7 linked regions of the Ovis aries genome follow. The protein of the gene in region 7 interacts with the protein of the main gene of each other region in a pairwise test. Links are inferred from orthologs where the notes say so. Each region holds a gene or a part of one and is shown on either strand. Other genes may lie near its edges. The genes, in order: PPP1R16A, NEDD9, RAD23A, METTL17, HOXA9, ABI2 and TRIP6.

Region 1 (3,479 bases), on a different chromosome or scaffold from region 7:
CCGGAAGTCATCGATGCAGCTCTGCGGAGCACCCAGCCTGAGTGTCCGAGCCCACGCCGCAGCCTCAGCCTCCCCTCCCACCACCAGTGGGGCTGACCTGATGCAGGGCCGTCAGGCCATCCTCATTGGCCAGATCAGGGCTGACCCCACTCTCGAGGAACTGGCGGACTGCAGGGAGGACAGAGGCGGTCAGGGCTTGGGAGCAGAAGTTGGCTGCAGGCCCATAAGTCCTGCTCAGGCCCCTGCCCAGGGCACCTGGGTCGCAGGCTGTAGCCAGGATAGCAGAGGAGCACAGGGAAGGCATGAGGGACCCCAGAGCCCAGGCCGAGGGCTCGGGGCTGGGCCCCCAGGCAGGGTATAGACAGACAGCAGCGCCCTGCCTCAGCCTCAACCTCAGAATGCCTTCCCAGTTAGGGCCTTCCAGCCCTCCAACTCCTCCCAGAAAGGGCCCCCCAGGCCTGGGGGCCGGCATGCACCCTCAGACACCCCTCGGTCAGGTCCCGTGTTCCCCCAGCCTTACACGCTCACACACTCACACTCACCCCTCCCCTGGTACTTGCAGCCCGCCCCACCGCACCTCGGTGGCCAAGACTGAAGGCCCAGGGTACCCAGGCCCAGCCCTCCCCAGCTGCCCCCCTCACCCCACAGCTCCTGTTTGCTGGCTGACCCACGGCCGCCATGCCCAGCCCCCTTTCCCTGCTCTGGGCACACCCTGCCCCTCCTCGCCCTCTGAACCCGAGCTGCCACAGCAGAGGCCCCGCCCGGGAGGAGACAGAAGGAGTCCTCAGGAGCCTCCCTGGGAGGGCAGAGGGGCTGACAGCGGGCAGAGGGCAGTGCCAGGAAGGCAGTCCTGCCCAGCCTGTCCTCCGGGAAGGAAGAAGTCAGAGGCAGAACTAAGGGCGGGTGTTGAGGGGGGCCTGCTGGGCAGCCCTGCACCCTGGGTCTAATCTGCTGGCGGCGGGGGGGGGGGTGGGGGGGGGTTGCATGTGTCCTTTATGGAGGCGAAGGCTCAGAACCCAGGCAAGCAGGCAGGCGTCATGGGCAACTCCCAGCACCCTGGCCAGAGGCAGAGAAGATGGCAGCTCCCAGCCCACCCCGCCTTGGCCTCTCGCCCAGCAGGGCCCTTGGCAGGCTTCCCTGGGCTCCCACCAGGGGGCTGTGGCTCCTGAGGCCTGCGTGAGGAGTGGGGACAGGGCTGCTGGCCCGGACTGGACTTCAGCCACACTCACCTTCTTCCAGGTCATTCCGGGCAGCCGCCTCGAGGAGGGTGACGCTGGGCGGGAAGAGCACCCGCTTCTGCGGCTGACCGCTAGCCCTCCGGCCCTGTGCCTCCTTCTCAGCCCGGGCCCACATCTTCACCTGCTGGGCCCGTCGCTTCTGGGCATGCTTGAGCCGCTCCTGTGTGCTCATCCTGCCCACCATGGGCATCTCTGCCAGCAGTTCCAGGTGCTCGGCCATGGTGGGGGCTGCCTGCCACGGGGCCTGCGGGGGGCACCGGCTGGGGCAGCACGGGGGCCAGGCTGGGCCTGAGGTGGGGGGCAGCCGGCTGGACTGGAGCCCTCGGGGGCATCCCCTCCTGAGGTTCGTGGCCTCTGTGCCTGGCAAGGCTGGGTTAGGAGGCCTCAAGCTGTGACCAGGCCCGGGCAGGTGTGAGGGCCACGGGCCCCAGGCAGAAAGGCAGCGCGGGACGGCACCTGCAGCCCGCCTCCCGGGGCCTGAGCACCTTGGCCGCTCGATGGGCAGGGCCTCCCTCCCGCGTTGGGTCAGGAGGACACCCTGCAGGAAGCAGGCGGGACTTGGCCAGCGTCAGTCCAGGGTCTGAAGCTAATCACCCAGATGACAAGGCTGCAGCTCCCGCCTCCTCACACAGGGGCAGGGCAGGGCAGGGCAGACACCCCTGGGAGCCCTTGCCTTCCAGTCTTAGGAGACCAGGTGGGGTCCCGGGGCACCCATGGCCAGGCCTTCCTCCCCCACCGACCCCCAGCACCTCCAGCCTTCCGGGGGTCAGTGCTAAGAGGAGGTGCAGCAGGAGGGAGGGTTGGGCGGGTGTGTGTCCAGAGTCCGGGGGGCCTGGCCCCCAGTACCCGAGGCTGATGCTCTCTAGGCAGGCAGGGCACCCAGGGCCCGGGAACTGTGTCTTCAGGAAGGGCCCCCTTTGGAGTAGCCAGTGGCCGAGTTGCACACGCAGGTACTCCCTCCCGCTGGCCTGAGAGGAGGAAGCAGGAAGCCGTCAGGGCTGGACGGGGACAGGCCAGCGCCCCCCCAGAGCCCCGACCTGCCCACAGAGAACCTTGTGCGGCCCGCATTCTGGCCCCACACTCAGCATTTCTCTGCAGCTCAGAGAAAAGAGCAGGCCTCCAGCCGGGCGGCCCCTCAAGACCCCACGTCAGCCCTTGACCCATGTGCCCTCGGGCTGGGTTAGGCAAGCTCACTTTCTCCTGCAGCTCTGCCAGCTTCCTGAGGGTGCCCAAGCCACCCTGCTCAGCTGCAGAGAGTGGAGGGCACGGCCTGTCCTGGCCATGGGCTGCTCACCGCTCGAGTCTGGGCCTCTTCCTTGCCAGGCTTTCTAGTTCAGGCCATTCAATGCCCCCTCAACTGTCCTGGGCTACATGCAAGCCCTGCTTGTGTGAACATGGGTGCAGTGGCCTGCCTGACCTGGAGCTGTCAGGACAGACAGTCAGGCAAGCAGCTAGGCTGTGGCACAGCCCCACAGTCCCCACCATGGACTGTCCCGCCCAGCACGCCTGGGGTGATCACTGGGCACAGCCTCAGGACACTGCTCAGGAGGCCGTGGCCAGGCTCCACCTAGAAGGTGCCCCCTGCAGCTCAGCCTGACCACCTGGAGTCCCCCTTCCCACTCGGACAGACCTCATGGCCATCTAGAGACTGACCAGCCTTCCTTTGACCAGACTTGTACTAGTGAGTGCCCATTCCTTCTGGAAGGAAACCGTCCTGGGCCAGATCAGGTCAGGTCAGGCCTCTCCAGCCTGCGGACCCCCAGTGTACCCAGAGCCTTGCTTCTCGGGTCTGCCTGGCCCTGGATGTGGCTGGCACTCCACAACCCCTCTGCAAGCCTGGCCTCAGAGGCTTCCTGGGGACAGGATGGGGGACCAGTGAGGCCAGGAAAGAGCTCTCCAGGTAGCACCCCTGCTCCGGGCAGCCCACCCCCTGCTGGCCTGCTCTGCCGACTGCAAGGCCGGCACAGAAGCTGCCCAGACTGCCTGCCTGGGTCTCCCAGGGCTCCGTGTCCTGCCTCTGCCTGCTCCCCACCCATGAGGCCCCGGCCAGACCCAGGTGTGGCAGGGCTTTCTGCCTCCCTGATGGCCACTCACAGGTCCCTCATGTTCCCTTGGAGAGACTGGGCACCCCCTCCTACCCACATGTGGGACGTGCATCTCTCTGGAGTTGGCCTTGGGGCCTGCCAGCGAACCCAGCCTGAAGAGCTTGCCCCACAAGACCATAAGGAAGGAGCAAGGCCG
Region 2 (4,217 bases), on a different chromosome or scaffold from region 7:
ATAAAATTTACATACATTTAAATGCAAAAATCATAAGGGTTCAATTTACTGAGCTATAACATTTTGCATACTCCTAATATCACACTGAAATGTCATCTCTTCCTTTGAAGACTGCCTGGGTTGCCTCCCCTTGCAGCTCGAACATTTCTCTATTAGAAAACTTACTACAATTATTTCTCTGATGCCCACTAGACTATAAACGCATGAAAAAAAAAAAAAGGGACAATGCTTCTTGGGGCCCCCAGTTCCGAACAGTATCTGGTATATAACAAGGTATCAGTGAAAGTTTGCTAAAGAAGCAAAATGACATTGGAACAGATAGCCTGCAGCTTTAAATAAGGGAGCTGTATAATTTTAAAGTTAAGATCTGCTCACTGTGTCTACTAAATCACCAGTAAGGAATGTATGATAAGAATTGTCAAGACACAAAAGGGAGAAAAGGCAGCAGTTGGAACACAAATAAATCATTAGGTTCCTAAGACGCCTCACAAAGACGTGAAACTCTTTTTAATCATTCATGGAGCCTCTAAAACTGGTGGGTGGTACAAATTGCCACCACAAGATTTATATAGTAAAACCTTCAGCTTTTATAACATGTTTAAAAGCAAATGAATGTTACCTGTCCAAAACCTAATGGAGAACATTTTTGTAGTTCCTGTTTGATATGCTGACACCTGAGATTTTCTATTTTCAAAAGAAAAGCAGTGCATAATCAAATGTGTTGACACACAGATATTTCTTTGGTATCACTTACTATTTTGACCAAGGGATAGGTTACATGAATTGAAATCTGATTTCGCGGTTGCTTCTGAGTCATATCAGGAGTTGCTCTTCTTTTTCTTAATTAAAAAACTCAAAAGAAAATATATATTGTTTTGAATATAACTAAGTAAATGTTTTTTAATTCCTGTGAGGAATTACTACAGAGGAGTTCTATGATATATTCAACTCACAATGGGTTTATTGGGACATAACCTCATTGTAAGTGGAGAAAGGTAAATAAATCCAAAGTATATAGAATGAAGGAAATAGTAAAGAAAAGGAACCAATGAAACAGAAAACATAAATGACAGAGAAAATTAACACAAAACATTTTTTTCCTTTTGAAAGAATAACAAATTTGAAACCCCCCACATGGGTTTCCCTGATGGTTCGGATGGTAAAGAATCTGCCTGCAGTTCAGGAAAGCCAGGTTTGATTCCTGGGTCAGGAAGATCCCCTGGAGAAGAAAAGGGCAACCAGCTCCAGTATTCTTGCCTGGGAAATCCCATGGAAAGGGGCGCCTGGAGGCTACAGTTCATGCGGTCACAAAGAGACAAGATTGAACAACTGATACTTAAGCCCTACATAGGCTAATCAAGAAAAAAATAAGAAAAACCACTAACACCAGGAATAAATGTGTGAATATACTACAGATGCTACATATATTATTAACAATTTGATGTTAATAAATTCAACAGCTAGATGAAATTCCTAAACAATGCAACTTACCAAAACAGACACAACAAGAAATAGGAAATATTGCTGAAAATGCATTTATTAAGTAAACTGAATTTGTGATTGAACTCTTTCCTTAAATACATCAGGGTCAGATGGTATCACTGGTGAACTCTTTTAAACATTAAGGTAAGAAAAGGTATCAAACTTACATAAATGTTTTCCAAAACAGAAGATGAGGAAACGCTTTGCAATGTGTTCTATGAGGTCAGCTAGACCCTGGTACTAAATCTGACACAGTCATTTAAAAAAAAAAAGAAAGAAAATAAAAACACCGGTCGTTTCCAACTGGCTACCTAGTCTGGTTTCCTTTTCCCTCCCCCAACAGGCACACACACTGCGGGGAGGGAAGGGAAGAACAGGTTAGCTGGTGGGCGACATCATCAGACTGTCCCCAACTGAACAAGGAAGTTGATGCAGCCCCATGTGACTTTCTTCAGGTTCCTGCAAGATCTAGACAGAAGCCAGAATTCGGCAAAGAAATGTAAGATACACGACTTAGAAGATAAACCACTTGATCTGCTAAGCAAACATTATTGCCAAATGCCTTAAGTAACTGATGGCTTGTAAAACGAGTACTTATGAGAGAGTTCTTTGAGATTATGCTATGCCAGCAGTCATTGATGTCACCAGTCATACGAACAACCCACATGGGGACACTGAAGATGAATAAAATAATGGAGTGATCATGAAATCAGAAATACAAACAGAAAAAGGAAATGGTAAAATTCTGAACTGGAACAAACACAAAGGAAGGAAACCTATAGCAATCCTCGGAACGCTGATGCAGAAGAAGAAGGCAAAGAATAAGATTTTTTTATCCTTAAATTATGCAGAGAATAAGGTCGAAGAGTGCCTAAAATCTTTATCGGAAGTTCCATTTTTATAAAGCACATGTCTGGGTTAATGAAGCTGACAAATATCTCAAAAGGTCTCTTTTCTCCTTCTGGCGTGCAGAGGATTTTCTGGCCAGGCAGTTCTGAGAAAATGCTTTGAGACAACGGCAACTGACACATCCATCTTTTTGAAAACACAGCAAAAATAGGTGCTGGAGATGGCGAGAGTGTCACCGGAAAGAAATAGGAAAGTGAGAGACTCACCTCTTCCATTATCACTGATAATAAGATGGGCATAGCGGGGGAAGAGCAATCACCAGTATTGCTGAGGTTCATCAGGGAATCAAGGTCACAGTGAGGAATACGGACTCTCTTCCTTCAGAAGCTGATGCAGACATTTTAGCTGTGAAATTTCACTCCGTGCTAATGGAAGAGCAGGGGACAAACATGCACTGATGCGGTCTGGCTTAGATTATGTCTAGTGGACTTTCCCCCGAATGCAAGTCATGCTGACTAGACTTTTAGGGAATAACCCCATGGTATGTACACAGTCTATTTTTCCTCTGCCTTAAATATGCGGTTGTCAGAAGCAGTGTCTGTTGTGGGAATTATCTGTTGCTTTGTGAACAATTAAAGATGTTTGTTCTTTTTTCTGTTGATCACAACTGCTATAGAGCTCAACAATGTAATATCTGTTCTCTTTTAGAACAGTGAGGGATAAAAGGCAAATGAACCAAAGCAAATTTGCCATTCTCCATGAATAGCGGGTATAATGCTTTTGGAATTTTTGTAGAACTCCTGCAAATCCTTGCTTTATGTTTAGATGGCATAAATAATGATACAAATGTTAGCTAGAATAACTTTATAGCTGGTTGAGATTTTGTTCCCCGTAGTGCACTGACAGATTTTTCATTTTAATTATCATTGTTGTTCATCAAAATGTCCTATTTTTTAAAAATAGCCTTTGGGAAAATTCCCAGGGCCACACTTCCGATATTTCTTTGCTGCCAGCACCTTTACTGCTGAATTGCATTATATGAAGGGATGGAAAATATCTATATTTATTGTAAATTTTGATTTGAAAAAACCGTGATGCAGCACCAGACTTGATTTTAAGTCGAATTTCCTAGAACTTCCTTGGGGCTCAGCAAGATAATCTCCACTAACCCTTGAGAATTACTGTAAACAAATACTTGCTGTCCCAACAATGAGGCACATTACTCAGGACCTTACAGATATTTTCTTAGAATAGCACCTCACCATTCTTAAATGCTTATCTCTTACAGCCTCAGTCACAGAACAGCTCACAGTCAACACCATGCCAACATGTAGCAAAGTGACTAATCCACTCTCAACACACTCTCTGCCAACCTTTGCTGTTGGTGCTGCGTGCTAAGTTGCTTCAGTCATGTCTGACTCTTTGCAACCCTATGGATTGTAGCCCACCAGGCTCCTTTGTCCATGGGATTCTCTAGGCAAGAATATTGGAGTGGGCTGCCATGCCCTCCTCCAGGGGCTCTTCCCTGGATCGAACCCAAGGATCGAATTCAGGCCTCTTAGGTCTCCTGCATTGGCAGTTGGGTTCTTTACCACTAGCGCCACCTGGGAAGCAGGATCAAACAAAACACGGAGGGAAAGACATAGAGCATCCATTAACCATGTACAAAGCCCCCTACCTGTCTCACTTCAATTTTTTTCTTATTATTTATATATGGCTGAAGGATTTCTCTGCAGCTCAAATTGTAAAGAATCTGCCTGCAATGCAAGAGATCAGAGTTCAATTCCTGGGTCAGGAAGATCCTCTGGAGAAAGGAATGGCAACCCACGCCAGTATTCTTGCCTGGAGAATTCCACGGACAGAGAAGCCTGGCAGGCTACAGTTCA
Region 3 (4,215 bases), on a different chromosome or scaffold from region 7:
TGCATACTCAGCCCTGGTGGGAGACACAGGAGGCCTCCGCTCTGCCCTCCCAGGCCCACCCCACCGCTCTCGTCCCGGCTCCTGCAGGAGTTCTTTCCTGGCTAGAACCCTAACCCAAAGGTTTTGGGGGACAGATTTTGACCACCCTTCAGAGCACCGAAGTCCGCATGCTCCCTTGAGAACCCCCCGAGAGGCAGCAGCCCCACCTCACCGTGAGTAGATACTCCACGGCTCGGTGGGGGTTGTTGTAGCTGGCTCTCAGGGCGGCCACGACCCGCTCTCGCTCGTAGCCCATGGACATGATCTCCGTCAGCATTGTCTCATATTCAGAGCCCGTCACTGTGGAGGGAGCAGCAAAGGCTGGGTCACCGAGGAGAAGGAAGGGCAGCTTCCCGGCCCTCCCATGCCCACAGGAGGCCAGCTGATGCCTGGGGCATCCAGCCATTTTCAATTGGGGGACCACCCACCCACCTAGCGTGGAGGCCGCGTCTTCCTCTCGCCCGCTGCTACCTGAAGAGGGAACAGAGCTGCAAATTCAAGAGAGAGAAATCGGACCCTGGCTTCTGGCGGCTTGCCCTCCCCCCAGGTGTGTGGAACCATGACAGTGGGCACTGAAAGGGGCAGGGAAGACAGGGCCCAAACTGGGGCTGCGGCTCCTTGCCTTACCCTGACACAGACTCCGGGGACGTCGTGGGGGCAGATTCCTCCGATGGGCTTTTGTCTTCTCTGGCAGTAGGTGGGGGGTGGGACATGCCTGAGGCAGGGGCTGACGGGAAGGATGTGGAAGACTCCGGGGTGGCAGTGGGTGAGGCCTCTGAAGGTACTGAGGTGCCTGGGCTGGTTTTGGCCTATGACACCCAGAAAAAGGGAGCAGGCATCAGTTCCCCTATCTAGCCCCGACAACCCTCCACAGCTCCGCCCCGCCCTGTCCATGGCTAATCTCTCTTCGGCACAGGCTGTTTGCCAGTTCCCCAGCCAATCCACCCACCCTCCGAACCAGCAGACATCACCCACCTTGGTCACCATGACGACCACAAAGTTCTTCTCGTCAATGCGATAGTCCCTGATAGGGACATCGTCACTCAGGATCTTGCCAGCATAGATGAGTTTCTGTCCAGCCACGGGGAAAGCATCACGACCCTTCTCAGCTTCTATCTTCTCCTTTAGCACCTTCACCTGGAGGAAGGGGTAGATGATCATTGCAAACCCCCCCGATTCTCTCTTCTAGTTTGGGGGCAGGCTGCAAGCCCTGATGGCCGAATTGCTAGGCTTCCTAATCAAGCACACTAGACCATTCTACTATTCAATGACATCTTTACTGAACACTGAATGTGTGCCAGGTGCAGTTTTAGGCAGAGGACAGAGCACAAAGACTCAACACGTGTCCCTGTTCTCATAGAGGACACTCATGTGGGAGAATAAAAAAACGAATACATATTTCAAATGATGTAAACATGATGAAATGCAATTCAAAATAAAGGGGAGACCTAAGGTTGCTGACAGTGGTGTTTACTGAGAATCGTTTGATAGTGCTATTAATAAATGTATACGTCACAGGTTTAAAGCCTTGTAGTAACTGAGTGGAATAGGTACTATGAGCCTCATTTTGTATTGTTTAAAAGTTACTTACTTATTTGGCTGCATAGGATCTTAGTTTTGGCATATGGGATCTAGCTCCCTAACCAGGGATTGAACCCAGGCCCCCTGTATTGAAAGTGCAGTCTCAGCCACTGCACCAGGAAGCAAGCTCCATATCCTTATTTTATATTTGAGAAAAATAGAGGCACAGAGATTACCTAACTTGCCCAAACAGCTGGATTGGTCAAAATAATCTGAGTTTGTTTCCTTTTTACAAAAAATGAACTTCAATATCTCCCTCATAGGGGAAATTGTGCAAAAAGTGCCAAATACACGTTTTTTAGGTCCTAAGTCACTTTCCGGTCAAAAGCACCGCATCATCTTTAGACCGTGGGCTCTCGAGACTTGAGGCAAATCCGAATTGAAATCAGCTCCGCCACGCCTTGCTGTATGCATATGCGACTATAGCAAAGTTCTTCAAGCTCAAAGTTTCCACATCTGTTAAGTGAGGACACGCAAGAGTGCCCAAATGACAAGCCTACTTTGCAGAGTTAGTAAAACATCATGAAAACGCTCAGCGACTAGTGAAAAACAAACACGGACCACTGAAACTCAGACCGTTTATTATCATTATCATCATAGTTGCTGTCATCACCCGGCATCTCCTGATCACTACTCCCAGATTTGGCCACCAAGGTCCCGAGGCAAAGCCTACAAAAGTGGGAACTCGGAGGACCCATTCCAGAGAAAGCAGCCCGGCCGGCAATCTGAGCCTGCGGATCCCGCGCCCCGCGAGGGAGCTGACATTGGAGCCAGGACCTGGCGGGAGCCCCGGAGGTGGGGCTTCGCCTGGAGATCGACCCAAGAGCGCCGCCCGAGCCACCAGGGGCAGAGCCGGGGACCATCAGGGTATCTGGGAAAGTCAGGCCTGTAGGGAGAATGGGCAGGGCGCGACCCTGCGCCGTCTTCCCCGCCTCTGTCGTCGGGATCCCGGCCTCCCCGCCCCCACCCCACCCGCTGCACCCGTCGCTCCCGCTCCGGAGCTCCGGCCTGGCTCGCACCGTCTCATCAGGCTCCATGCGGATCTTGAAGGTCTGCTGCTGCAGTGTTTTGAGCGTGATCGTGACGGCCATGGTGGGACCCGAGCGACACGGAGGCCCCGGAATCCTCACACGACATGCAACTCACGCCGCCGCCATCTTAGCGCCCAGCCGCGCCGCACGCCGACAGCTTCCGGGGCAGGCAGTGCGCGCGCCGACCACCACAACACGTGACATGAGCGCGCCCCCTTGGCCATCGCGAGCATGCGCACGAGCGCGGCCTCGAGCAAAGCATGCGCAGACTAAATTCTATTCCGTGAGGGAAGGGGTACTTCTTGCTCTACCATCAAGTGGCTTCCTGCGAGTGACGCCATGCCCGTTAGCGGTGACGTCATAGGCCACAAAATGGCTCCGAGACCCCCAGTTTCACGCCCATGAGTTTGTTGACGTTTAACAAGCAATGTACTTGCTAAATTTTCATTTCTTCCACAAAATCTTAATGTCTTTTTGCTCGTTCCAAATGAGCCTTACTCTGGTCTGGCCACCTGACAGGAAGCCTATCAAGCCCTGAAAGAACTAGAAAGGATACTTGAAAGGTCACCAACAGTTAAACACGGAAATTGACCATGGACGTGGGGACACAATGCCATTCTGTGGCCTCATTAATGCCTAAAGGAAGTGCTGGATTTTCAGAATGAATCTTAACAGCTCCCTCCCTCTGCTGCTCCTCCCCTGATCACTTTGTTCACCCAACTATCTCCATCTGACTCCATCAAATACTCCATCTGAGTACTTGAGGAAGATGTAACGTTCAAGGTACACTAAACACAAAATTCTCTCCTTAAAACTTTCCCCGGATATGCCAATTCTGGAGGCCTCCCAGAAGGGTGGGGCTAGGCCCATGGAACAAAGAGTAGAAGGGTTGGTTAGCCAAAGCTGAAGGTGCTTTGGCAAACAGGATGGAGGTGATGTACTTGTCTTCCATTTAGTGGGTGGACTTTCCACCCTACCCCCATCCTGAACTGACCATTACCTGCCAGCTAACCAGCTCTTCTTACCATTCACATGAGAAAACACCAGGCTGTGGCCTGCCGCCTCACTCCTTACCCAACTATTACCAGGTCCTGCAGCTTCTCCCTTCACAGCATATCCTGTGCTAGTCAGCTTTCACAAGCCTAGGTCAGACTAGGGTGAGGAATTCTCTTCCCTCTCCTGCAGTTAGACATCAGTTCCCAACCACCCGCTGGACATTAATGGCAGCCTTGTGGGGCGCAACCAAGTGGGCCTATGCCAGTCTTACAGGCCCACAGGCTCTTCTGACACTTTCACTCCCTCCCTTGGGGCCACCTCTTTCCCTTCAAGAGTTCAAACCCTGACTTGGCCAGTGAAGGCCATTGGGGTAGATCACATCTCTGAATCTATTTCCCTGACTATAAAAGGAATTAACAGCTTTTAACACTGGCTAGTAGTCAGAAAATGTGTTTAAAGCTAATAGATGTGTAGTCTTGCTCCTTCACCAGCAAGAGATGTGTATGTGGTTCAATGTGAAAGAGTTCACATGAATTGGTGGCTAAGGTGTGGGTTCAAACCCCACCTC
Region 4 (3,987 bases), on a different chromosome or scaffold from region 7:
ATAGATGTAGATGGCGGTGGTGGTTTAGTTGCTAAGTCGTGTCTGACTCTTGCAACCCCATGGACAGTAGCCTCCCAGGCTTCTCTGTCCATGGGATTCTCCAGGCAAGAATACTGGAGTGGGTTGCCATTCCCTTCTCCAAGGTATCTTCCCAACCCAGGAATCGAGCCCAGGTCTCCTGCATTGCAGGCAGATTCTTTACCAACTGAGCTACCAGGGAAGCCCCCAGATAGAAAGTACCAATTTGTCATCAGCACTTGACAAATTGGCACTTGCTAACTTGCATTCTATGTACCAATACTACCAGCAGAGCATATGTTTAAAGGTGAAGATCAGACTTAGATTGCCAAGGTTTAGAACTTGTTCTCACCTAACAAGCTCTTGGATCTCAAGCGGAATATTTAGCCACCTGAACTTTCACTTTCCTTGGGTGCAAAATCTATCCTTTAGAAGTATGGGGACTAAATAAGGTAGTACCATATAACAGCGCTTGCCACACTACCTGTCACATAAGGTTCTCATGGTAGCTATTTACCTGGCTTAAAAGTACTGGTTTAATATTAAGAGAAACTAACAAGTAAGAAACATTAAATCTATTATCTATTATTCCATCAATTTGGTCGCCTAAATCTGGCTTCCCTTGATCATCTTCCCATTACTGCAGTCTCTCCTGGAGAAGGAAATGGCAACCCACTCCAGTACTCTTGCCTGGAGAATCCCATGGAGGGAGGAGCCTGGTAGGCTACAGTCCATGGGGTCGCAAAGAGTCGGACACGACTGAGCGACTATACTTTACTCCATTTCACACAGGAGGTAAAAACTCTAAGACTTCAGTGTTCTCCAGAAGGTGAAAGAAAGAACACTGGTAGTTAATACAAACACAAATCCTTCGCCGTCCTGTGACGCGTTTCTGGCGAACCCAGCATAGGGTCAGCCCATACCTACCTAACCCCGCCCCTCCAATTTCTGGAGGCGGAGACAAATCACAACGCAGGGTGGAAGTCACCTAGCTTCCGGCTAGCTACGCTGGAATTGAGGTGCACAAACGGCCTCCAAGGCGATTTACAGATCGATTGTTTATTGGCTACTAGCAAGCACTCGCTCTCCGCATTGGCTGTTACTGCCCGGCGCCAATGTTCGCGCAGGATGTTCGCTGCAGCTAGTGAGAGTGACAGACACTGCACCTAAATTTCCGGTTCCGGTTCACCGCTGGCGCCATGGCGACCGTTAGAGGGTCGCGGTATCTGCTGACAATAGGCAGATGGCGCCGCAGCTTTGGAATAGCGCCCCAGTTCCGAGTGAGTACCTATTTTCCCTGCTTTCAAAAGAAGCTTTGGACCTCAAGAACAGCTCCTCTCCGAGGAGGTGCGCTTTCGGCAGCTCCTCCTTTAGCCTCCCGCAGCCATCCTCTGTGCCCCCTATTAGCTTTCCTTTTTCTGCAGGCGCTTGCTGCCCTCGTGCCCGGCGTATCCCACGTGGATAACAAGTCCGATTTCCTGGGGAAGAGGCCCCATCGCCGGCACCCTGGCATCCTGCAGCTGTCATGCGTGCGGCTGCCGCAAGGATTGGCTGAAGCCGCGCAGTTACTGCTGCTAGGTGAGTAAAGATGGGAAATGGAAGCTCAAGAAGCGAAGATTGGACCCTGCGTACAAGTGATTCCTCTTTGCATCTTTGGTCCATAGAGAGCTCGATGCCCAATATGGAGAAACAGGTGCAAGCCCTAACCAATTATCTCTGGAGCCGGCATTTACCTGTAGAGCCAGAGGAGCTACAAAGACGGGCTGTTCTTCTTGAGAAAAAAATCCTGGAAAACGCAGGTAGGTCTTTTCAAAAATAAAGAGTAAGCCAAATAGAAAGAGCAGAGGGAAATGAAGAGCTAGTAATAATTCTGCAGCCTCTTAAATAGATACTGCGATTTCTTATTTGACTTTCTAATCAGAGTAGTTATTCATAATGTTGCCTTTCTAAAAGAAGAAAAGTAATTTCAGAGATTGCCTATTAAATTCAGGGCTTTAGTAAAGATCAATGAGTTATTCCCTGACTTCTTGTAGTACCTGGTTTGTAGTAGGCACTCCGTAGGTAAAATAGTACTGAAGTGAACACAATTGTAAGACAAGTTTTTCAAGCCCCTTTCCTTCCTATAGGAACTTTGGAGACATCACATTATTAAATTGGGGGGAAGTGAAGAAATCTACAAAGTACTGTCTATCCTATCCTTTAACTTTTTATTACACTTGCTTTTAATACAGAACAAAACCTGTGAGATAGAGTTGGTTGAATTGAATGAATTGCTGTTAGAGGCAATATATTATCTGATATACTATGGTGGTGGTGGTCATTATTATTCTTACCTGAAACTCTTCTCTAGTTTGGCTTCTCTCTTAAGCATTTTCCATGTGGGAATTGGTAGGGAATGGCAGGCAGTAAATTCAGATATTGTATCTGAGCCCTGTTCTTCCTAGGTCCTTACTTCCAGTGCTTGTTCTTACCCCAGACTCATGTCAGACAGAGAAACATCATGAAGAAGTCCTGCGTGCCTTGCGCAGAACTACCTATCATTGGCAAGAATTGAGGTAAGGGAGACTAGAAGGGCTGCAGAAGAAGGAAAAGTTTGGCTTTTGAGAAGGAGAGTTGGGGAAATACAATTACACCATTTAGTGTGTGAAAAGGCAATCTGGTTTATAAGCCTCCCTAAGACTTGTCTGTGTTGATCAGTGAAAGGGTTGAGCTGGAAGAGCCCTTTGCAAAGATTTCATTTCCTAAAAGTCTGGAGGGTAGCTGCAGGATAGAGATTAATTCCCAGTGGTATGTCTGATTTTTCTGGCAGCTACAATGAGGGACTGAGCCTGGTGTATATGGCAGCAAGACTGGATGGTGGCTTTGCAGCAGTTTCCAGAGCTTTCCATGAGGTGAAATTCCCTCAACTTCCAACCAGAAACTTTACTATCAGTTCCCTTTTTCATAAAGTAATCTGGGGCAAGATTCTTGGGACATTACATGTGCATTTTTTTCGAGAGGTTGTCTTTATCCTCTGAAAGGAATTTTTGACCCAAAAAAAGGTTTAGAATCACTGTTCTAAGACCTTTCTATTCTATAAGGCATTTACACTGAATCTTGACATTCACAGCTCATTTCCTCTGTTGCGGTCCCCTAATTCATGTTTACCAAGACCCTAAATAAGTGTCTGTCTTCCCCACTGTGGGGTATTGAATATTTCTTCAGATCCAAGCTCGCCTTCCAGACTTCCAGCCACAAACCTTGATGGACTTTGGCTCGGGTACTGGCTCTGTCACCTGGTGAGTATCTTTCTCTGTCTCTGTCAGTTCCAACTCTAGAGAGTTAGAGCTAGCTTATGCCACGTCAATATCAAGACACTGGAGAACCAAAGGAAGAAGAGAAAATTGGAACTGATGTGTTTCTTCCCTCAGATTAGACAAGGCATGAGAAGGTATATAAATTAGGGTCAGAACTTAAAGAAATGTCAAGTGAAAAAACCCACATTTAGAAGGATAAAAAAGGAAAGGAATTTGATCTCGGACAGGGATTTACATGTCAGCAAGATTTTTGTGTGTGTGTTCATATAGTTTTTGAGTCTTCTTAACAGTTGTAGATGAAACAAGAAAATAAGATTGCTAGTTTTTCCAACTATTTTAACATAGCGCTCTGTTTCCTCAAGGTTGGGTTAGGGACAGAGGGGTCTCTTGTAGGAATAACTTTGTCGTAAGAACTGAAGATTTATTTTTTGCCACTTTAGGGCTGCTCATAGTACTTGGGGTCAGAGCCTACGTGAGTATATGTGCGTGGACAGCTCAGCTGCCATGTTGGAATTGGCAGAAAAGCTGCTGAAAGGTGAGGACAAAATGTAAGGAAGGGCTTTTCCAAAGTTGAAGGCATTTGCAAAGCAAAGGAGTACCAGAAAGGGTCTTTTACTGGGGAGTAGAGGAGAGGCCGGAAAGTTAAAGATGGGTCTGATGCGATGACCCTGTT
Region 5 (3,946 bases), on a different chromosome or scaffold from region 7:
CCTTTCATTGATCCTGCTTCGTGTTTTTTCGCAGTTCGGGTTCCGGGAATGCGACGAGGCTTGCAGAGCTCAGCATTAGGGCCTCCAAGGTCGGCACACACGGCTGGGACGCCTATTGGGTCCGCCCGGGGTGTGAATAGCGATTCCGGCGGACCGCGAGCGGGGCGCGCTGGTCGTGCGTGTACGCGGGGATGGAGCCGAGCGCGCGGCACAATCAGGTCCTCAAATCCGTGGCCCCAGGGTAGACTGGCCACTCTCTCCCTGGCCGCTCCTCGGTGGGGCCCTCGCTGGAGGCTCAGCAGCGATTTGGGGAGCTGCCCGGGCGCCCTGCGCTCCAGTCGGGCAGATGCCGGAGGGGAGTTCACAATTGGTGCTGGCTTCTCGGTGGCCTGTCCCTGTCCAGCGCGCTCCGGCAGAGGTGGTGGTGGCTCAGTCTGGGATGGATACTGCGTTGAATTTGACTTTTCTCGACCAGCCCCGGGTAAACTCGCATCTCTAGGGACCGCAAGGATTATTTACAGGGAGCTCGCCAACCAAACACAACAGTCTAATTTAACCTTTCCAAGTCCTCGTAAATTTTTACAGCTGCGAGTCACGAGGAGCCAAACGAATCTGTTGGTCGTTCCCAACTTCCCACCAGCCTGTGTGGCTTCTGAACAATAACTCCTTATGAAATATCATAAATATAGATTTAAATACAGTAGAGCGAGAATGCGATTTGGCTGCCTTTTTATGGCTTCAATTATTGTCTAATTTTATGTGAGGGGCTCTGCTGGCCGCACTCGCGCGCGGGACCCGCGTCTTGCTGATGGCGTGATTAATTGTGATATAAAATAGTCCGCTTAAGAAGTGTGTGTCTGGAGGTGGCGGGGGGGGGGGGGAGGGAGTACAGAGGCAAGGCCAGATTTGATCTTTTAATCTTCGTTGGCCACAATTAAAACAAACCCGATCGCGGAGCGCCACGATCCCTTTGCATAAAAACATATGGCTTTTGCTATAAAAATTATGACTGCAAAACACCGGGCCATTAATAGCGTGCGGAGTGATTTACGCGTTATTGTTCTGCCGGGCGGGCACGTGACGCGCGCGGCCAATGGGGGCGCGGGCGCCGGCAACTTATTAGGTGACTGTACTCCCCCCCCCCTGGTGCCACCAAGTTGTTACATGAAATCTGCAGTTTCATAATTTCCGCGGGTCGGGCCTGGCCGGCCAGGCGCGGGGCACGGAGATGGCCACCACCGGGGCCCTTGGCAACTACTACGTGGACTCATTTCTGCTGGGCGCCGATGCCGCGGATGAGCTGGGCGCGGGCCGCTACGCGCCGGGAGCCTTGGGCCAGCCCCCCAGGCAGGCCGCGGCGCTGGCCGAGCACCCCGACTTCAGCCCTTGCAGCTTCCAGTCCAAGGCGGCTGTGTTTGGCGCCTCGTGGAACCCGGTGCACGCGGCGGGCGCCAACACGGTGCCCGCGGCCGTGTATCATCACCATCACCACCACCCCTACGTGCACCCCCAGGCGCCCGTGGCGGCGGCGGCGCCGGACGGCAGGTACATGCGCTCCTGGCTGGAGCCCACGCCCGGCGCGCTCTCCTTCGCGGGCTTGCCCTCCAGCCGGCCTTATGGCATTAAACCTGAACCGCTGTCGGCCAGAAGGGGTGACTGTCCCACGCTTGACACTCACACTTTGTCCCTGACTGACTATGCTTGTGGTTCTCCTCCAGTTGATAGAGAAAAACAGCCCAGCGAAGGCGCCTTCTCCGAAAACAATCCTGAGAATGAGAGCGGCGGAGACAAGCCCCCCATCGATCCCAGTAAGTGTCTCCTCCTTCCAGGCCGGCCACCGCCTCCACGCCGGCCACCCGGATCTGCCGGCCCTCCAGCTTTCTCCGGAGCCTGAATTCGCCTTCGCTGGGAGCCTCCTGAGCAAAGGCCGGGAGCCAGAAGTTGCTGTTTGGGAAGCCTCCTCGGATGGGGCCCCCCAAGTCCAGAAAGCAGTGACAAGCCGGCCTGCCGGGCTTCGGGGGAGGGGAGGCGGCGGCTGCCTAGAGAGGGGGCGGGGCAGGCGCTGCAGGACGACCCGAGACCTGGTGACCCTCTCCTTGGCTTGCCCGGGACCAAGACAGAGATACTCTGGGCGAGATTCTTCGAAAGCGACGCGTCAGAGAAAGCCTTTTGTGCGGCTAGATTGTCCGGGAGCGGCGGTAGCAACTGCAGCCCGGGCAGCCTGACCCGGGACTCTGGGGAAGACGGCCGATTCTCTCCACTTCTTGCTTCAGCCAGTGGCGGCGTAAACCCTGCCTAAGATGCGGCTGCAGGCGACCGGGACGCGAGAGTCCCCGTGCTAGATTTTTCAAATAAACTGGAGAAGTGATCTACGGCCTTGGGGTGCCTAGGGGCGCCATACCGGCCTGGCCAGCTCCCACAGCCTTCCAGGGAGGTCAAAATAAGGAATGGGGAGAGTAGATGGAAAGGTGGGAAGGAAAGAGAGTCAGTGAGAGGGAGAATAGAATATTAAGCTTGCTAAGGAACGCATGGCAGCGTGGTTTCCTCCCGTGTGACAAGAAAGAGACCTGTTTGCAAATTTCACTTCTTGCACAACGTGTGGAGAGTGGGAGGAAACAGAGGAGGGGGAAGGAGGACAGAGGAGGAGAAAGAAGGGTCTGGGTGGGATGGGGGGGGGGGAGCCGAGGTTTACAGGCGTGCAATTGTAAGTGACCGTCCCTGCGTCTGTCTGCCAGGGTTCCATTGTATCCGAGGCTCGGCTGCCCTCCCTAACCAGTTCAGCAGCGTCCTGCACTTTGGCTGAAGACCCCAGGACTTTTCCTAGCCCCCAGCGGAGAGGGGTGGGTGTGCTTATTCACCTCCTAAATCCCCCAATCTCTGTCCCCCACCCGCAGGTAACCCGGCTGCCAACTGGCTCCACGCTCGCTCCACGCGGAAGAAACGCTGCCCCTATACAAAACACCAAACGCTGGAACTGGAGAAGGAATTTCTGTTCAACATGTACCTCACCCGGGACCGCAGGTACGAGGTGGCCCGACTGCTCAACCTTACGGAGAGGCAGGTCAAGATCTGGTTCCAGAACCGCAGGATGAAAATGAAGAAAATCAACAAGGACCGAGCGAAAGACGAGTGATGCGACTCGAGTTCGTTTAGAAAAGAGAGAGTGAGCTAGAGAGAATTGCCCGTCCCCTTCTACCCCCATCCCACCCCACCCCACCCCAGCCTCCACCTAGGCCTCCAACAAGGCGGTTGGATACTCCAGGCCTCAAGTCCTAGGCAAACCCTGTTCAGGCTGGTTCCTTGGCCTGCCAGTTTGATGGAGGAGGTATTGTAAGCTTTCCATTTTCTATAAGATTTAAAAAAAAAGGCAGGGGCATTAGCGATGATGGTTCTATGTGCTAGCTTGTATATATTAAAAAAAAAAAAATCTACCTGTTCCTGACTTAAACAAAAAAACTACCTTTTTATAATGCACAACTATTGACGGCGGGCTGTATAGTTTTTAGACTGTGTGTAGTTAATTTAATTTGCTGTTTGTGCGGCAGAGCAATCTGCCCAGATACTTGAATACTGTGTTTTATTGTGGTAATTATGTTTTGTGACTCAAACTTCTGTGATGGGTGATGCACCCGTTGTGATTGTGAAAGCTAGAATTCGATTTGAACTCAGGTTGTTTATGAGGGGAGAAAGCAGTTGCATAGAGTATAGCTCTGTAGTGGAATATGTCTTCTGTGTAACTAGGCTGTTAACCTTTGATTGTAAACTAGCTGTAAGGATTTCCCAGTGACATAAAATTTTAAAACAAAAAACGAAAGCATTCTCCGGGATGCATAGATTCATGGTTTTCTCCATTTTTGAAATGCGGACATTTTAGTTTCTACATGCTCTCTAGATCTATCTTGTCCATTGTATATATATAATCCACATATTAAAGAAAAAGTGAACA
Region 6 (3,989 bases), on a different chromosome or scaffold from region 7:
AAGGAGGGGCAAAATCACTAGGCGGGCCAAGAGATCACAAATACAAGACTTGAAATAATAGATCTTGCTCTAAACTGCAAAGGCAGTCAGCTTTGACTTTCCATGGTACAAATAAAGGTCATGGACTTTATAATATCTCAGCAGTTGTCAGAAATTTCAGTTTTTAAAAATTACATGTGTGGAGTAGTCAGATTTAGGGGAAAAAAAATATACAATACAGAATAGTAACTGCAAGACCAAAATGGTCTACCTTGAATTTTTGTGGCATTTAACGTTTTCCAAGGTGCTTTCATATAAACTTTTATCCATGTAATAGCCCTGTGAGGAAGGAAAGTACCAGCAAAATCGTTTTTTAAACTTTAAATCCTTAGTAGATGAGGAAAAAAGTTGATAGACTCAGGAAAGTGATAAAAACGATTGTCACTGAAGAGTAGCACAGAGCAAGTGGGAAAAGCTGAAGGCCAGAGGATGGGCAAAGGAGAAAAGAACCGAGGCTAACCTGGCAGGGGAAACTGTTGATTGGCAAACAGGTGCAAAGAAGCTGGAGGGCAGGAAATTTGGGATTAGGAAACTGAAATTTATTTATCCAAAGAGGATGAATACGGTCAAAGATGAGAAAAATTAAAAGTGGGGCGCAGTTAAAGCTGCATGGGAGTTCAGTGGGGCTAATATTATCCCTCAGGCCCACTACCATAAGGTTGGGCCCCAGGTTGAGGATAACGCCGAGGAAAGTCGCTGAAGAAGCGGGCGGGAAGACCGCAGAGCCGGGTGGGCGTTCACGCCGGACTAACAAAGGCCGCGGGGTGCACTGCCCCAGCCACGCATCCTGCGGGGGCCGAAGGGTTAACCGCGAGCTCAACTCCCGCGCGCATCCCGGCCCCCACTCCCGCGGTCGCTAGGAGACGCCGGATGTGGGGGAGGGGCGGGCGGCGCGACCAAGGGTGGGAACCTTTTTCGGGCTCCCGGGGGTGGAGGGAGAGGAGCGCGCGTGCGCGCGCCGGGCCGGCCGTCGCCGCGGTGACCGTCCTCCGAGTCCATCGGCTCGCGCCCCGCCCCCGTTCCCGCTGCCCCCTCCCCTGTCGCGCGCTCAGGGGGTGTTTCTCGCTCCTCCCGGGTTGCCGCCGCCGTCGCCTCGGCTCCTCCTCTCCTAGTCTTGGGTTTCCCTGGCGCTACTGCCGCCGCTGCCTCTGCGGTCTGTATGAGGAGGAGGATGTGAAGATGGCGGAGCTGCAGATGCTGCTGGAGGAGGAAATCCCGGGGGGCCGCCGGGCCCTCTTCGACAGTTACACGAATCTGGAACGGGTGGCCGATTACTGCGAGAACAACTACATCCAGGTGCGACGCATCTGCCGGCCTGGGCGTGTTGGGCCTCTGGCTGCTGAGCGGCGCGTGGGGGACCCCCGGCCCGGGGGCCGCGCCTGGGGGCGTAGGGCACACGGGGCCGAGGCCGCAGCAGGGACACAGTGCAGCTGAGCAGGGGTAGAAGCAGGGTGGGAGCGGGAGAATGGGTGAGAATTCTCCGGTTGGAGGAAATTGTAGCTTTCAAGCATTTTTCAAAAGCCGTGAATCAGTTCTCGGTGCGGGGTGTGTGTGCGTGTGTGTGTCCCCGCCTCCTCTCTTCCCTCGGCCGCCTCCGCAATCGGTGCCGGTCAATTTTCGCGATGGCGGAGGAGGCGGAGAGTGGCATTTTCTATTTGACAGAATCCTACTCCCCCATATGGCAAGGATTTGGGGTTTAATGGGTCGCCCCCAATCTCTGGAGGATTTTTGAGGCGCTATATTGCTGCAAAGTAAAATGCCGTAGCTTTATATTCATTTGAATGTATCAAAAGCTCAGCGTGGTTTTTTTGCCTTGTTTTTAGGTTCTAACTGAGGATACAGTATAAGAGCAGCTGTCCCCCTTGTTGGAAGTTAATGCCAGTTTTCTTCTCTATGGAGAATGAGAAGCTGCATGATAATGGTTTATTCCCTTCTGCCACCCGCCTCCAAGCCCGTTAGAAATAGCTAATTTGCCTGCAGGGAAATTTTTTGTGATTATCTTTCAGAGAGAAATGGGAAATAATTCTCACGGTTTAAATTTTCCGTGATGGTTGGTTTGGCATCGGGACTCAGTGATAGCACTGTATGTTTGTGTATGAAGGCGGGGGGTATTGGGTGAGATGAAATTGAGCCTCTTCTGGAAGAAGCAAGATTATGTGATTAAAAACAATTCTTTTTAAAAAATTATTTGAAAGGATAGTTTAAGATGCACAGTTTGCAAAGTCAGCATCTTTTGTTTTCTTTATAGCTTATTCTGAATCATAGGTTCTACCTCCATCTTTTCCCTTCCCATTTAAATTCTCTTGGGATATAGGTGGAAATGGAAGCAATGTGTTAAATTGTTCCTTCACTATGGCCTTTTTTCCTTCTCCCACCTCCATCTCTCCAGGCATCTTTCCTAACATCAGCTATATTGGGAAGCATTCTCAAGTCTTGGTGTGAACCAAAGAAAAAAAAGGTGTTAAAATTTATAGGTTCATAAATTTTGTAAGGATCATATGGTTAATCAAGGATAGTGTTGTAAGATATTACTTGATTGGACATATCCTGAGCACTATATTTTCTTGTATGGAATATTTGTACTGGAGAATGAATCAGACATAATCCAAGGCTTTTCCCTCCAAAGAGAAAGTTGAAAGTATGGCCAGCAGGAAAAGATAGAGTGTGTCTTGGGTCAAAGGCTCATATAGACAGTACAGATGTCCATATTCATGGGGTGCTTTGCTGATACTGAGTGTGGTAGGAGAGAGTAAAAGGTTGAGATGCTTAGTTTTCACTAAATATATTTGAAAGTGTAATATGGCCTGGCATTGTTAAGAGTTGATAGGTAGCTAGTGTCTACAGAATTTCATTGTATAGTTAGTGGGAAGGCTGATCTTTAGCAGATGAATTCCATTTTGAGCGTCAGTTTATATTCTTAATGGGCTGCAGGTGGGAAGAAGGACTGGAGGAAACTATGCTATCCTCACTCTGGAAATTCAGAGTCTCTAGGAGAGGCAAATTAAAAGGACTGAAGTAGTCGTTACAATTCCTTGTGCAACATATGGGAAAGAGTTACAGGTCTCAGAAGAGAAACAGGGTGGAAAGTGATTGGGTTGCAGTTATCACTGCTAATTTTTTTTAAAAAAGTTCTCTTTGTTTGGAAGATAATTTTTATTGTAATTTGAAGGTATAGTTCCTCTTAGGTTGCAGTTGTTACCTAAAGGTAAAAGTACCTGAGTTGATAAAGCTGAGAGAGTGAAGCGATCAACCATTGTCATCACTATATTCCTTGCGGTTCAAAGGAGAAGAATGTTGCTGCCATCATTTGTCTTAGCGGTGGGACTCAGAATTTAATGCGGTGTTTTAAAATTCAGAATATAAGTGCTGATTAATAGAAATGGATTTGGATTTTAAAATACCTTGTTTCTTCAATTTAGAACCTAAAATAGGTGCTATTAGGATCCAGTGGGTATATTATTGGCGTTCTCTCAACAGATGACAACTCGTACATGATTTGTTTGTAGTAAAGTTGATAAATAGAACATGGTGATAGTGGATTTGTGCTGACTCAGCTGCACATTTGGCTGGCTCTTCCTGTAACCATCGAACTGACCAGCAGGGCTTCTGATGCAGCCTGTGACCCTGCAATAGATGCAAGTCAATTAGTGATCTGATGGTCAGGTTAGCCTTATTATAGCAACATGTCCTAACCACTAGCTCAAGTTAACTTCACCTGACACTCATTTTATTTTGTGCAAGGACAGTTTTTGCCTGTAAAGCAGGAAAAAGACATTTATTGATAGGTAACATGATAAGGTTCTTTGCTCAGCATCCTTAAATGCCTGGTTTTATGCATGAGAATATAAAAATAAGATAATATTCTAAATGTGGATTACATTTAGTGTAAAAATAGAGGAAAGGAAGAAAAATGGTGGTGTCCTTCTGAAAAGGCATACTGTTTAAATTGT
Region 7 (3,947 bases):
TTACAGGCATCCGGCCAGCCCATCCATCTTATTTCTGTAGCCCCCTGCATGGGATTCAGTGAAAGGTGACCTTGAACAGATCTGAGTACTGACCCCAGCACTGCAGCTTCCTGGACAAGTTATTTAACCTCTCTGAGCTTCATTTTCCTTCAGCAGCAGTAGCTGCTTCACTGGGATATTGTGAGAATTTAGCACCTTCCTATAAATCTAAAATAAATGCCTGGGACTTCACTGGCAGTCCAGTGGTTAAGAATCTGCCCCGCAAGGCAGGGGACATGAGTTCGATCCCTGGTCTGGGAAGATCCCATTCGCCTCAGAACAACTAACCCCATGCACCACAACTACTGAGCCTACACTCTAGAGCCCGTGGTCTGCAACAAGAGAAGCCACCGCAATGAGAAGCCCACGCACCGCAGCTAGAGAAAGCCGGCTGGCAGCAACAAAGTCCCAGCGCAGCCAAAGATAAATAAATGCTTCACACGTATGAGGGAATATCGTCCTTCTTTTCCAGCAGCCAGTGTGGAGCTCCTTACTTCATTCATCCCTTCTTCTCGTTTATCAATGTCAGTTCCCCTGCTTCAAGCCCTATTCCTCTAGTTTCCAACTCATTCTAATTGCATGGAAGCCCTCCTGGGCCCCAACCACTCACCACATAGCAGCTCTCACAATAAGCCCTCCTCTCCACAGCGTAGAAATGCTGGCCCCGGAGCTGGGCCCGGCACGTAGAACACACAAAGCAGCCTACATGGAAGACGCGATCCAGGGCCACGACCCCGGCCCCATCCCCGACCACGTCTTCTCCGCAGCCACCACAGCGGCCTGGGGACAGGAAGGGACAGGGTCAACCCCCTCACAGGCCGGGAAGCCAGATCCGCTGTCCATCTGACTCTGCAGTCCCACCTCCCTGAGGTCGGGGGTCAGCTCACCAAAGTACTCCCCACTGGGCGGGTGGTTCATGTCGTGCACCAGCTTCTTGGTCAGTCTCTCAAGTTCCTCCTCGGGAGGCTGGCTGAGGGGCACCTGGGAGGTGAGACTCAGAGGTTTGACCCTACCTCTAGCTCCCAGTGCTGTCACTGAGGGTCCCCAGGGTGACCAGACCGTTCTACCCAGAAAGCTTATCACAGAACAAGTCCCAGCCCAGGGGCCGGGGGAGCCCCTCTGGCAGCCAGGGTGTAGATCTAGGCCCCTCCGTCTTTTAGTCCTGACCTGCCCCACATCCACAGGGGATCCAGAGCCCCAACATCCCAGACCTCCAACATTAACACTCCTTCCCCTACACCCCACCCAGTCAGCATCCAGTTGTCTTTGATGGACCCGAAATCCCAGGGCCCAGGGCGTACCTGGGACCCGTAGCCGCCTCCTCTTGCACCTGCAGGGCCGGAGACCCCCGGGGCCTCCTCCTTAACCCCCGGCCCTGGCTCGCGGTGGCTCCTGTAGCCAGTCCCCCAGACTTCACCTCGGCCTGGAAGAGGAAAGTGGGGGCCCGGGGAGTGCCCGGAGGCCTGAGAGGCCCCCCGCCTGGGAGGGCCGCAGCCTCTCACAGGCTGTGCCACTTTCACTTGCACAGGAAAGGCCGGGCCGGCGGGGGTGCTGGCTGTAGCATAGGAGGCCGGAGTGGGGCCCCCGTAGGGGGACCCTGGGAGCGGCGGGGGAGGAAGCGCCCCTCCATTCGGCCTCAACGGGCCTGAGCCTGAGCGGTAGGCAGGGGGCTCAGGGGGCTCGTAAGCCTGGGGAGAGACGAAGAGCAGGAGTGAGCTGGGCCCATTTCCAGGACACCCATCTGTAGGAACCCCCCTCCCCCGACCCCTTGAGGCACCCAGGCAAGAACCAGCTTTGACAAGGGCCCGGAGTAAGCATCCCTCACATGGGGCTTGTGGGCGGGTGGGGGGCGTTGGGAATGGGGGGGTGGATTCAGAGTAGGGAACAGGGGAGGGGCGGGGTCAAGGATCGGAAGGGGCAGGGGCAGGACAGGGGAGTCACCTGCCGGTCAGATCGCCTCGGGGCGTGACCTCGACCCCCGTCCAACTCAGCCAGCATGCTGGTCAGGGAGTCTATCTCAGCATCCAGACTTCCCGGGCGCAAGCCCCCCCTGTCTGGGGGGAGGCCCTGGGGAAGGAGCAAAAAGCAAGGAGAAATGCAATCCCACGGTCTCCCCTCCTGCCCTGAATCGCCCCATCCCCCAGCGCCTGTGCTCACCTGCGAGTGCTGGGGTGCTCCATGGCACCCCACCCAGGCCAGCCCCCGGTCCTCTGGTCCCCCGGGGGTCTGGTAACACTGCTCGGATGGGAGGGGGCAAAAATTGACCCGGGGGTGGGGCTGGAGCGCTGGGGTGAGGGAAGAGAGAGCCAAGGTGGGGATGAGGAAGGTCAGGGTGACGACGCCCGTGGAGGCCACCGTCTTGGGTCCCTCTTCGCCCCTCACCCTGCACCTGGGGTCCGAGAATAGGGCCAGGGGCAGGGAGGGCTGGGAGGGGAAGGGGCAGCAGGGGCCTGCTCAGTGGGGCGTGGACGGCGCAAGGCAGAGCCGAGAGCGCTGGTGGCCCGGGGGCCTCTGGGCCTCACTGGGGCTGCCTTACCTGATCCGTGGGCCGGGGGTGGCCCCGAGGCCCCTCGGGGGAGCGCTCTCCCCTGAGGGGCTCGAGCAGGCTCCAGCTGCTTCGGGGGGAGCCAGGTGGGCCCGGACATGGTCTGGAAAGGGGGACTCCAGACAGCCGGTCGGGCCCCACGGAGCCCCGGGGCTCTGACTTGGATCCCTTCTTCCGTCCCACACCTTGCTTGGGACTCCAGGAAAGAAACTTTTTCTGGCTTTTTTTTTTTTCCCCTTCCTCCCTAATTTTGGGGATGGCCACGCCCCCGGTGACATCATCGCATTCCTGGGGGAGGGTCACGTGGCCCCCTAGGCCCTAAACTGCCGTCCCTCCCCGAGTCAGGCCCCCTCCTGCGAGCAGGGAGCGCTTTCCTCGGGAGCCCCGGGAGCCTCGAGTCTTCAGGCTGCCGGCAGCCTGCATCTCCACCAGCACCCCCCCACCCCCAGGCCGGCGCCCCAGGTCCCACACGTGGCCCCCTCCCTGCTCGGAGTCTCTCCAACGCCCCTCTGTCCCCATCCCCCATACAGATTTCTCCCTCTTTCCATCCCACGTACCCACCCCCTCCCCTCTGCTTCCAGAAATGCTCAGCCGGTATTTAGTGTTTTGATCTTTTATTCACATTGAGCAGTTAGAAAAATAAAAGAACAAAAACATCACAACCTCAGGGGTCGGGGGTGGGGGGGTCTGTTGGGCGAGGTGGGGGGCGGAGACTGAGGTAGCCTAGAGTCACAAGCGGAGACCCAGCCCCCGGCAAGGCACGGGTGAAGGGAGGGAGGCCCGAAGGGAGGGCTGTGGACTCCTTCCCCAGGAAGGTGGTGGGGACAGCTGCCCTGCGTTAGTAACTGCACCCAGGGCCAGGAGACCAGGATGCCCTAATACGTCCACCAGGGGCTGAGTCCCACGTGCGAGGCTGGCACAAGACAGCCCTTCCCCTTCTCACCCTCCTCTCACGGTGGGCCGCCGGACCTGGATGCTCTCTCTGCTTGGCATGGGCCTCAGAGATCAGTGCAAGTAACAGGAGTGACACCGTGAATGAGCAGCGCGGGGCCCAGATCGCGGCTCAGAATTTCCAGAAGCGCCAGGTAGCGCAGGTAGCGGGCAGAATCAGCAGGCGGCCGCGGCAGGTACAAGAAGGTGAGGGCAGTGGTGGGCCCCACCTCGCCGCCCCCTTCCTCAGGCCCACCAGGCCCTCCTCTACCACGCCCCTGCTGGGCCCGAACCAGGGCGTTGGCGCTGCATGCCAGGGCCTCTGCCTCAGCGTCTCCCCGCCTGCCGTTCACAAAGTCCCCTTCCTCCTCCTCCTCCGGCTCCTCGGAGGCAGCCCCCTCGCCCCACACCACCTCCCGCACCTCGGCTCGGA

The links.
Region 1: the proteins of TRIP6 (region 7) and PPP1R16A interact in binary tests that used the Homo sapiens proteins (3 or more experiments, as listed by UniProt). The two-hybrid records come from large-scale screens. The link is inferred for Ovis aries from reciprocal best matches to the Homo sapiens genes TRIP6 and PPP1R16A.
Region 2: the proteins of TRIP6 (region 7) and NEDD9 interact in binary tests that used the Homo sapiens proteins (3 or more experiments, as listed by UniProt). The link is inferred for Ovis aries from reciprocal best matches to the Homo sapiens genes TRIP6 and NEDD9.
Region 3: the proteins of TRIP6 (region 7) and RAD23A interact in binary tests that used the Homo sapiens proteins (3 or more experiments, as listed by UniProt). The two-hybrid records come from large-scale screens. The link is inferred for Ovis aries from reciprocal best matches to the Homo sapiens genes TRIP6 and RAD23A.
Region 4: the proteins of TRIP6 (region 7) and METTL17 interact in binary tests that used the Homo sapiens proteins (3 or more experiments, as listed by UniProt). The link is inferred for Ovis aries from reciprocal best matches to the Homo sapiens genes TRIP6 and METTL17.
Region 5: the proteins of TRIP6 (region 7) and HOXA9 interact in binary tests that used the Homo sapiens proteins (3 or more experiments, as listed by UniProt). The two-hybrid records come from large-scale screens. The link is inferred for Ovis aries from reciprocal best matches to the Homo sapiens genes TRIP6 and HOXA9.
Region 6: the proteins of TRIP6 (region 7) and ABI2 interact in binary tests that used the Homo sapiens proteins (3 or more experiments, as listed by UniProt). The link is inferred for Ovis aries from reciprocal best matches to the Homo sapiens genes TRIP6 and ABI2.

The regions. Positions count from the first base shown.
Region 1 is NC_056062.1:13,409,809-13,413,287, forward strand, and holds part of PPP1R16A (protein phosphatase 1 regulatory subunit 16A), read right to left. Parts: intron 2,207-3,479; 5' UTR 1,459-2,206; coding exon 1,230-1,458; intron 169-1,229; coding exon 98-168; intron 22-97; coding exon 1-21. UniProt on the Homo sapiens protein: Inhibits protein phosphatase 1 activity toward phosphorylase, myosin light chain and myosin substrates.
Region 2 is NC_056073.1:44,062,545-44,066,761, reverse strand, and holds the start of NEDD9 (enhancer of filamentation 1), read right to left. Parts: upstream 2,810-4,217; 5' UTR 2,598-2,809; intron 1-2,597. UniProt on the Homo sapiens protein: Scaffolding protein which plays a central coordinating role for tyrosine-kinase-based signaling related to cell adhesion. As a focal adhesion protein, plays a role in embryonic fibroblast migration.
Region 3 is NC_056058.1:10,918,096-10,922,310, forward strand, and holds the start of RAD23A (UV excision repair protein RAD23 homolog A), read right to left. Parts: upstream 2,801-4,215; 5' UTR 2,712-2,800; coding exon 2,640-2,711; intron 1,177-2,639; coding exon 1,015-1,176; intron 849-1,014; coding exon 667-848; intron 528-666; coding exon 472-527; intron 340-471; coding exon 212-339; intron 1-211. UniProt on the Homo sapiens protein: Multiubiquitin chain receptor involved in modulation of proteasomal degradation. Binds to 'Lys-48'-linked polyubiquitin chains in a length-dependent manner and with a lower affinity to 'Lys-63'-linked polyubiquitin chains.
Region 4 is NC_056060.1:24,452,299-24,456,285, reverse strand, and holds the start of METTL17 (methyltransferase-like protein 17, mitochondrial), read left to right. Parts: upstream 1-1,186; 5' UTR 1,187-1,217; coding exon 1,218-1,298; intron 1,299-1,442; coding exon 1,443-1,596; intron 1,597-1,682; coding exon 1,683-1,817; intron 1,818-2,494; coding exon 2,495-2,573; intron 2,574-2,827; coding exon 2,828-2,909; intron 2,910-3,222; coding exon 3,223-3,296; intron 3,297-3,754; coding exon 3,755-3,849; intron 3,850-3,987. UniProt on the Homo sapiens protein: Mitochondrial ribosome (mitoribosome) assembly factor. Binds at the interface of the head and body domains of the mitochondrial small ribosomal subunit (mt-SSU), occluding the mRNA channel and preventing compaction of the head domain towards the body.
Region 5 is NC_056057.1:70,456,185-70,460,130, forward strand, and holds the start of HOXA9 (homeobox protein Hox-A9), read left to right. Parts: upstream 1-1,145; 5' UTR 1,146-1,228; coding exon 1,229-1,808; intron 1,809-2,894; coding exon 2,895-3,133; 3' UTR 3,134-3,946. UniProt on the Homo sapiens protein: Sequence-specific transcription factor which is part of a developmental regulatory system that provides cells with specific positional identities on the anterior-posterior axis.
Region 6 is NC_056055.1:205,328,494-205,332,482, forward strand, and holds the start of ABI2 (abl interactor 2), read left to right. Parts: upstream 1-1,180; 5' UTR 1,181-1,218; coding exon 1,219-1,335; intron 1,336-3,989. UniProt on the Homo sapiens protein: Regulator of actin cytoskeleton dynamics underlying cell motility and adhesion. Functions as a component of the WAVE complex, which activates actin nucleating machinery Arp2/3 to drive lamellipodia formation.
Region 7 is NC_056077.1:36,218,561-36,222,507, forward strand, and holds the start of TRIP6 (thyroid receptor-interacting protein 6), read right to left. Parts: upstream 2,803-3,947; 5' UTR 2,685-2,802; coding exon 2,576-2,684; intron 2,325-2,575; coding exon 2,197-2,324; intron 2,107-2,196; coding exon 1,981-2,106; intron 1,728-1,980; coding exon 1,341-1,727; intron 1,021-1,340; coding exon 927-1,020; intron 820-926; coding exon 650-819; intron 1-649. Other genes in the region: SLC12A9 (solute carrier family 12 member 9), read right to left, coding at 3,583-3,947. UniProt on the Homo sapiens protein: Relays signals from the cell surface to the nucleus to weaken adherens junction and promote actin cytoskeleton reorganization and cell invasiveness. Involved in lysophosphatidic acid-induced cell adhesion and migration.